Linked DNA regions of Callithrix jacchus. The protein of the gene in region 1 interacts with the protein of each later gene in a pairwise test. Links are inferred from orthologs where the notes say so. Each region holds a gene or a part of one and is shown in the gene's direction. Other genes may lie near its edges.

What was found.
Region 2: the proteins of CPT1B (region 1) and TEX44 interact in binary tests that used the Homo sapiens proteins (3 or more experiments, as listed by UniProt). The two-hybrid records come from large-scale screens. The link is inferred for Callithrix jacchus from reciprocal best matches to the Homo sapiens genes CPT1B and TEX44.

What each region holds. Positions count from the first base shown.
Region 1 is NC_133502.1:219,153,001-219,156,813, reverse strand, and holds part of CPT1B (carnitine O-palmitoyltransferase 1, muscle isoform), read left to right. Parts: intron 1-781; coding exon 782-889; intron 890-962; coding exon 963-1,047; intron 1,048-1,684; coding exon 1,685-1,880; intron 1,881-2,397; coding exon 2,398-2,583; intron 2,584-3,440; coding exon 3,441-3,546; intron 3,547-3,626; coding exon 3,627-3,743; intron 3,744-3,813. UniProt on the Homo sapiens protein: Catalyzes the transfer of the acyl group of long-chain fatty acid-CoA conjugates onto carnitine, an essential step for the mitochondrial uptake of long-chain fatty acids and their subsequent beta-oxidation in the mitochondrion.
Region 2 is NC_133507.1:153,024,805-153,028,183, forward strand, and holds TEX44 (testis-expressed protein 44), read left to right. Parts: upstream 1-1,360; 5' UTR 1,361-1,396; coding exon 1,397-2,635; 3' UTR 2,636-2,793; downstream 2,794-3,379.

The sequences.
Region 1 (3,813 bases):
TTGTGTCCCTCTGCAGAGCCAGACAGCAGAATGAAGGCCAGGCTCCTTCTCTTAGAGCTCAGGAGGTCACAGTCTGCCTCTGTCCCATGTAACTGGCCCTCCTGAGTCTCTGGGTCTTGCATGACCCTCCTCTTCTCCCCTTTTCCACTGTCCGAAGCACACTCAACTCGGGAGAGTCTACTGGAATTCTTCTCCATAAACTATCCTTCCTGAAACTTAGACACAACTTGTCCCTATCGGAGGTTTCAAACTGCTTTTTAGCGGTAGAGCCCCTTTATCAAAGCAAAATAAGTAGAACACGTGCACATAAAATAGGTTATAAAAGGGCAGCTCCGAGCCAGGCTTGGTGGTGCATGCCTTTCATCCCTGCGACTCAGGAGGCTGAGGCAGGAGGATCACTTAGGGCCAGGAATTTGAGGCTGCAATGAGACATGCTTGCCCCACTGCACTCCAGCCTGGGTGACAGAGCAAGACCCTGACTCTAAAAAATAAAGAATAAAAAAAGCAGCTCAGGCTGAAGCTGGAGCAGAGGGTTACTGTGATCAGTTGTGCATTTCTGGAGGTTCACCCCCAGAGCATGTGCAGGATGGCTGAAGCTGGAGCAGAGGGTTACTGTGATCAGTTGTGCATTTCTGGAGGTTCACCCCCACAGCATGTGCAGGATGGACTGGAAGAGGGAGACAACACCTCAGGCCCCCAGATAGATTGGTCCTTGGGTCGGCAAGATCCAGGTGCCACCCCGACAGAGGCACCCACCCTGTGGGCTCTGCTTTCTCTTTAGGACCTTGTGCTCATCAGGAATACAGACGTGCAGGCAGCCCGTCTGGGAAACATCATCCATGCCATGATCATGTATCGCCGTAAACTGGACCGTGAAGAAATCAAGCCTGTGAGTTGCATCAGGATTGAAGGTGGGATGGGAGAGGAGACCTGACTCTGAGCCATGCTGGGCCTTCCCCTAGGTGATGGCACTGGGCATGGTGCCCATGTGCTCCTACCAGATGGAGAGGATGTTCAACACCACTCGGATCCCGGGCAAGGAGACAGGTAATGGAGCCCGCTTCCTCCTACCTATGGCCCACCTGGCTCGGTGCCCTCCTACCTGCTCATCACCAAGTGTCCCCAGTGTCTCAGGGTCCTGAAACTGCGAACAGTAGTCTATTCGTGACATTTACTAGACATCTATTATTAGCAGGCATGCTGCTGGTGTTGGGACCCCACAGGGCCCAAAGCAGAGCCCCCCAATCCAGGTTTCACTGTGTGTGCGCAAGGGGGTCCTGCTGCAACCCAGAGCTTAGGATAGGCCTGGTGCTGCCATGGAGCTGGCAGAGGAGGAGAGGAAGGGCACACCCAGGGGCCTGGCAGAGGCGGTAGCCTTCCTTGCTTCTGACCCTGTATCCTCAGGCCATGTGCATAACCTCCTAGTGCTTCTGTTTCCTCTTCTGTGAAATACTTTATAGGATTGTTGTTGGTGTTATGAGAGGCAGCAGAAGCACCCAGCACAGGTCCTGGTTTAGGACACACAGATCCCATCCAGGGGGCAGGAAGGCCCAGGCAGAGGCCGAGCAAAGCGGGGTCTGCAGGGGCCACCTAGCGCATGGGAGGTGGACCTTTCTCAGGATGTACCTGGGGCCATGAGCTGCTTCCCACGGCCCACCTCAGCTTGCCCCGATCTCTGTCACAGATACGCTACAACACCTCTCGGACAGCCGGCATGTGGCTGTCTACCACAAAGGACGCTTCTTCAAGCTGTGGCTCTATGAGGGCTCCCGTCTGCTCCAGCCTCGGGATCTGCAGATGCAATTCCAGAGAATCCTGGACGACCCCTCCCCGCCTCAGCCTGGGGAGGAGAAGCTGGCAGCCCTCACTGCAGGAGGAAGGTATCGGCCTGTGGGGAGGGACTGTCTTCACCCCGAGGTTCAGGTCTCCATGCGGAGAGGAGCATGGCCCTTCCTGCCACCCTGGAACTGGGGGCTAGAGGCACAACCAGGGAGGGGCATTGGTGGTAATCATAGCATGACAGCCAGTGTAACCTACGTCTGACGGGTGGCAGCTAGGTGGGAGTGTGCAAGGCAGGGGACACCCTCTAAGACAGCCTGAAGTGTGCAAGGTGGGCACCCCCACCTTCAGGCCTAGCCTGGCACCTCCCATCTCTGGGCCCAGCCTGCCACCTCCCACTACTGGGTCCAGCCTGGTGCCCCCCACCTCTGGGCCCAGCTTGGAACCCCCACCTCCGGGCCCAGCCTGGCACCCCCTACCTCTGGGCCCAGCCTGGCACCACTGCCCACCTGCAGGCCCAGCCTAGTACCCTCCCATCTCCAGACCCAGCCAGGCCCTCGGATGCACCCTCCATCCCAAGTCCATGTGCCCACTGCTTAACTCTGCCCCATGCCACAGGGTGGAGTGGGCGCAGGCACGCCAGGCCTTCTTCAGCTCCGGAAAGAACAAGGCTGCCTTGGAGGCCATCGAGCGTGCCGCTTTCTTTGTGGCCCTGGATGAGGAGTCCTACTGGTACGACCCCGAAGATGAGGCCAGCCTCAGCCTCTATGGCAAGGCCCTGCTACATGGCAACTGCTACAACAGGTTGGTCATCCCCAGCCCCACAGGTTACAGCTTAGGGTTACAGTTAGAGGATTAAAGATAGAAGAAGGGAGGGTTATGGGGTGGGTGCAGTGGCACACACCTGTGATCCTAGCACTTTGGGAGCTCAAGACCAGCTTGGGCAACATAGCAAGACCCCATCTTAAAAAGAAGGAGTTAAGATTAGGATTAGTGGTTAGGTAGGGTTAGCACTTAAGGTTAAAGGTTAGGGTTTGGGTTAGAGAATAGGGTTAGAAGCTGGGCGTGGTGGCAGGCACCTGTAATCCCAGCTAGTCAGGAGGCTGAGGCAGGAGAATCCCTTGAACCCGGAAGGTTGCAGGGAGCCAAGATCGTACCACTGCACTCTGGCCTGGGCGACAGAGCAAGACTCCATCTAAAAAAAAAAGGAATAGGGCTAGAAATTAGGGTTGTGTTAGTATTAGGGCTAGGATTAGAGGTAACATCCAAGTTAGGGTTAAAGGTTAGGGTTGCGGGCTGGGCGGGGTGGCTCACGCCTGTCATCCCAGCACTTTGGGAGGCCGAGGCAGGTGGATCACAAGGTCAAGAGATCGAGACCATCCTGGTCAACATGGTGAAACCCCGTCTCTACTAAAAGTGCAAAAAATTAGCTGGGCATGGTGGTGCGCGCCTGTAGTCCCAGCTACTCGGGAGGCTGAGGCAGGAGAACTGCCTGAACGCAGGAGGCGGAGGTTGCGGTGAGCCGAGATCGCGCCATTGCACTCCAGCCTGGGTAACAAGAGCGAAACTCCGTCTCAAAAAAAAAAAAAGGTTAGGGTTGCAGGTCAGGATCCTGCGGACATTCTAAGCTTTGGCTCTTCATGCATCTACTCTTCCTGCAGGTGGTTTGACAAATCCTTCACTCTCATTTCCTTCAAGAATGGCCAGTTGGGTCTCAATGCAGAACATGCGTGGGCAGACGCTCCCATCATTGGGCACCTCTGGGAGGTAACAGCCTTGCAGAGGGAACCTACAGGGCAGACCATAGGGGATGAGGCTGGCCTCTCAGTCTCATCTTCTCCCTGTAGTTTGTCCTGGGCACAGACAGCTTCCACCTGGGCTACACAGAGACTGGGCACTGCCTGGGCAAACCAAACCCTGCTCTGGCACCTCCTATGCGACTGCAGTGGGACATTCCAAAACAGGTGGGTCGGAAGCACCCAGAGCAAGTGTGAGACCACAAAGCAGCAGGCAGGTACAACTCCAGCAAGGCCT
Region 2 (3,379 bases), on another chromosome or scaffold:
TTTTTAGTAGAGACGGGGTTTCATCATAGTCTCGATCGATTTCTTGACCTCGTGATCCACCCACCTCGGCCTCCCAAAGTGCTGGGATTACAGGCGTGAGCCACCGTGCCTGTGCCTGGCCTCCTCCAACCATCTTCTTAATGACCATAGGCAGAAGTAAGTTTATCCGGCGTTATCCTTTTCTGAGGAATACTCAGAGGTCTGTAGACCTTTTGTTATTCTCTGCCCTCCCAGACCGGTTGGGCAAGGAGAAGATGGAGATTTTTTCCCTACATCAAAAGGGTTAACCCTGCAGCCACAGCTGGTCAGGAGCTGCCCAGGCCCTTGGCTTTTGCTTATTCCTACTCTCACTGCTGGGAAAATGATTCCCTGCAGGAAACTGATTAAATTAGGGTCTTTCTTAATTTCGTTTTCTTTTTTGAGACAGAGTCTGCTTCTGCCCGGGCTGGAGTGCAATGGTGTGATCTCAGCTCACTACAACCTCTACTTCCTGGATTCAAGTGATTCTCTTGCCTCAGCCTTCCGAGTAGGGATTACAGGCACCCACCACCATGCCAGGCTAATTTCTGTACTTTTAGTAGAGACAGGGTTTCACCATCTTAGCCAGGCTGGTCTCAAACTCCTGACCTCAGGTGATCTACCTGCCTCAGCCTCCCAAAGTGCCGATTACAGGCATGAGCCACCATGCCCAGCTTAAATTGGGGTCTTGAGGCTCCAGAGTAGACAGAGAGGTGCCAGGAGGGATCCCTTATAAACACTGATTCTATTTTTTTATTTTTTTGAGATGGAGTTTCACTCTTGTTGCCCAGGCTGGAGAGCAATGGCGCAATCTCGGCTCACCGCAATCTCCGCCTCCCAGGTTCAAGCGATTCTCCTGCCTCAGGCTCCCTAGTAGCTGAGATTACAGGCATCTGCCACCATGCCCAACTAATTCTGTATTTTTAGTAAAGACAGGGTTTCTCCATGTTGGTCAGGCTGGTCTTGAACTCCCAACCTCAGGTGATCCGCCCGCCTCAGCCTCCTAAAGTGTTGGAATTACATGCGTGAGCCACCGTGCCAGGCCAACACTGATTCTGAGTCAACATCTGCATCCCTTCTCATCTGTCAAAGTCCCAGCTCTCACTCCTCCTGCAGGCCTGTGGCTGTACTTGTCCCTGTATACACCCCTCCAGCCCTTTCCAAGACATTTTTTTCCTATATACCTGCAAAGTTGGTGACAAATTGTCCCATAGACTCAGCCCACTTGGAAGGCTGCTCCAGAGGCTCAGGACCCTTGCTCTACAGGTACCTGTGACATCACCAGTGACCAGTCCCTTGTGACCTCGCCACCTGGACAACCCAGCCCAGCTGGGCTGCAGCCACTCCCTCCAACTGCCACAAGTAGCAAAGAGCATAGATGACCACAGGAGAGCCCTCCGTAGAGGCCAGCACCACCAGCAGCCCCACACATGGCACTTCCGGGGTCCCCCCAGGCAACGTGGCTGACAACACTTCTAAGGACATCCCAGCAGGAGGGCCCCAAGGTCAGGTCCCACTCACAGCAGATGTCTTGGTGGTGAGCAGCTCTGCCGCATCCACAGACCAGCAGGATGTTGATCAGGCCTCCTTCCAGACAACCACTCCGGAGGCCATGTCAACATCTGGGGACAAAGACAAGGGTGCAGTTGTTCCAGAACATGACCAGAAGACACCTAGAAAAATCACAGCCCTGCTTCCCAGCCAAAACCCAGGTCCCCAGCAAATGTCTATGAGCCTCCAGAATCCAGCGTGGGACACGCTAGTTCAAGACACAAGGACAAGTCAGAGTCTAGTGGTTTTCCCGGGTCACCTCCTGGGTAAGGACAAGACATCACAAACGGCGAGTGTTCCCAGGAGAGAGCGGGAGTCAGCCCCCTCTGCCCCTAGTGCTGAGCCACAGTCCACCCAGCACATGGAGGCTCAGCCGGCTGGGAGTGATGCTGACAAGGTCACAGCCAGTGCCGATGGCCAGCATGGCCCTGAGGCCACTGGCACCACCAAGGCTGCAAAGGAGAAAGCTGAGTGTCTGAAGGCCCCACACCCCAACGCTGAAGCTTTGCCATCCGATGAGTCCCCGATGGCCATGGGGGAGAACGTGGTGGACAGCTTAGGAGACCCACAGGTTTTGTTCTTCCCTCCATCTCCAACAGGCAATGTGCTCCCGTCACCTGGCCCCCAAGAGGTGGCCCTGGGGAGGAGACCCCTGGACCCCAGCCTGTACATGGCCAGTGATGAGAACGGCTACATGTACTCCATGACCAGCCTGCTGGGCAGGGGTGAGGGCTCCATCAGCTCCCTGGCAGACATCCTGGTGTGGTCCGAGACTGCCATGGGCATGGCTGTGGCCACGGGCTTCCTGGCCTCTGACCACAGCACTGTGGCAGACCTGCTGCACAGCTCGGGGCCCAGCCTGCACTCGGTCTCCAGCATGCTGGGAAGCGTCGGCTCGGCCTTCTCCTCCAGGCTGGTGTCCGGGACCGGCTCGGCCCTGCGCACCATCGCCCACGTGCTGGAGACAGTGGAGCAGAGGACCATGGAGGGCGTCCGCTCAGCCATGAACTATCTGACCAGCCACCTCACGGCACGCCAGGCCCATGCTGACCCCAACTATGATTAGAGCCCCGCACAGGGACCCCCGAAGGGCTGGTTCAGTGGCCTCCAGAGCCCCCTGGGACCCTCACCCCCTGCTCTCTTGCCCACCTCTGCTCTGGATGGTTCCCCCAGCCCGTGCAATAAATCACCAGCAAGCGTTTCTTTCTAAGCACCAGCCTCCTCCCTTGGGGTGCAGTTAGCAACATGATGACAGCACAGGGGGTCTGAGGGTGGAGTGGGAACAATGTCCCCTGAGGGTTTCTCAGGTTGACCCATTCAGGGGCAAATGTGCAGGCAGAGAAGAGCCTGGGCACAGCTGGGGGCAGTATGGGCAGGGGGAAGCGATGCAGGTTATCATGCATGGTGTCTTCTGGCACTTGATAAGCCACACGTCGTGGCTGCCATTATCCTTCTCCCCTGGCGGGCTGGGGGTGCGCAGGGAGCAGGACTCTAAGCAAACCAACTGTCCCGGCTTGCATCGGACTAAGGGGGTTTCTGGGTTGTCGGACTTCCATATTTACAACCATAAAACCCCAGGCAAACTAGGATGAGTTGCTTACTTTAGACCCAGGTCTCTTTCCGTGGTACTTACTCGTGTGTGTGAAGATATACATCTGGGAAAGCATTAGCAAGGCCAGGCCTTGAGTGCAGTGATGGGGCAGCCATCTGCTTTGGAAGCCGTCAGCCCACACTCTGGCAAGACCCTCTGCAGCACCCGGCAGTGTAGCCTGGTGAGTGATGCCCCAGCTGGATGTCTGCTCCCACCCTG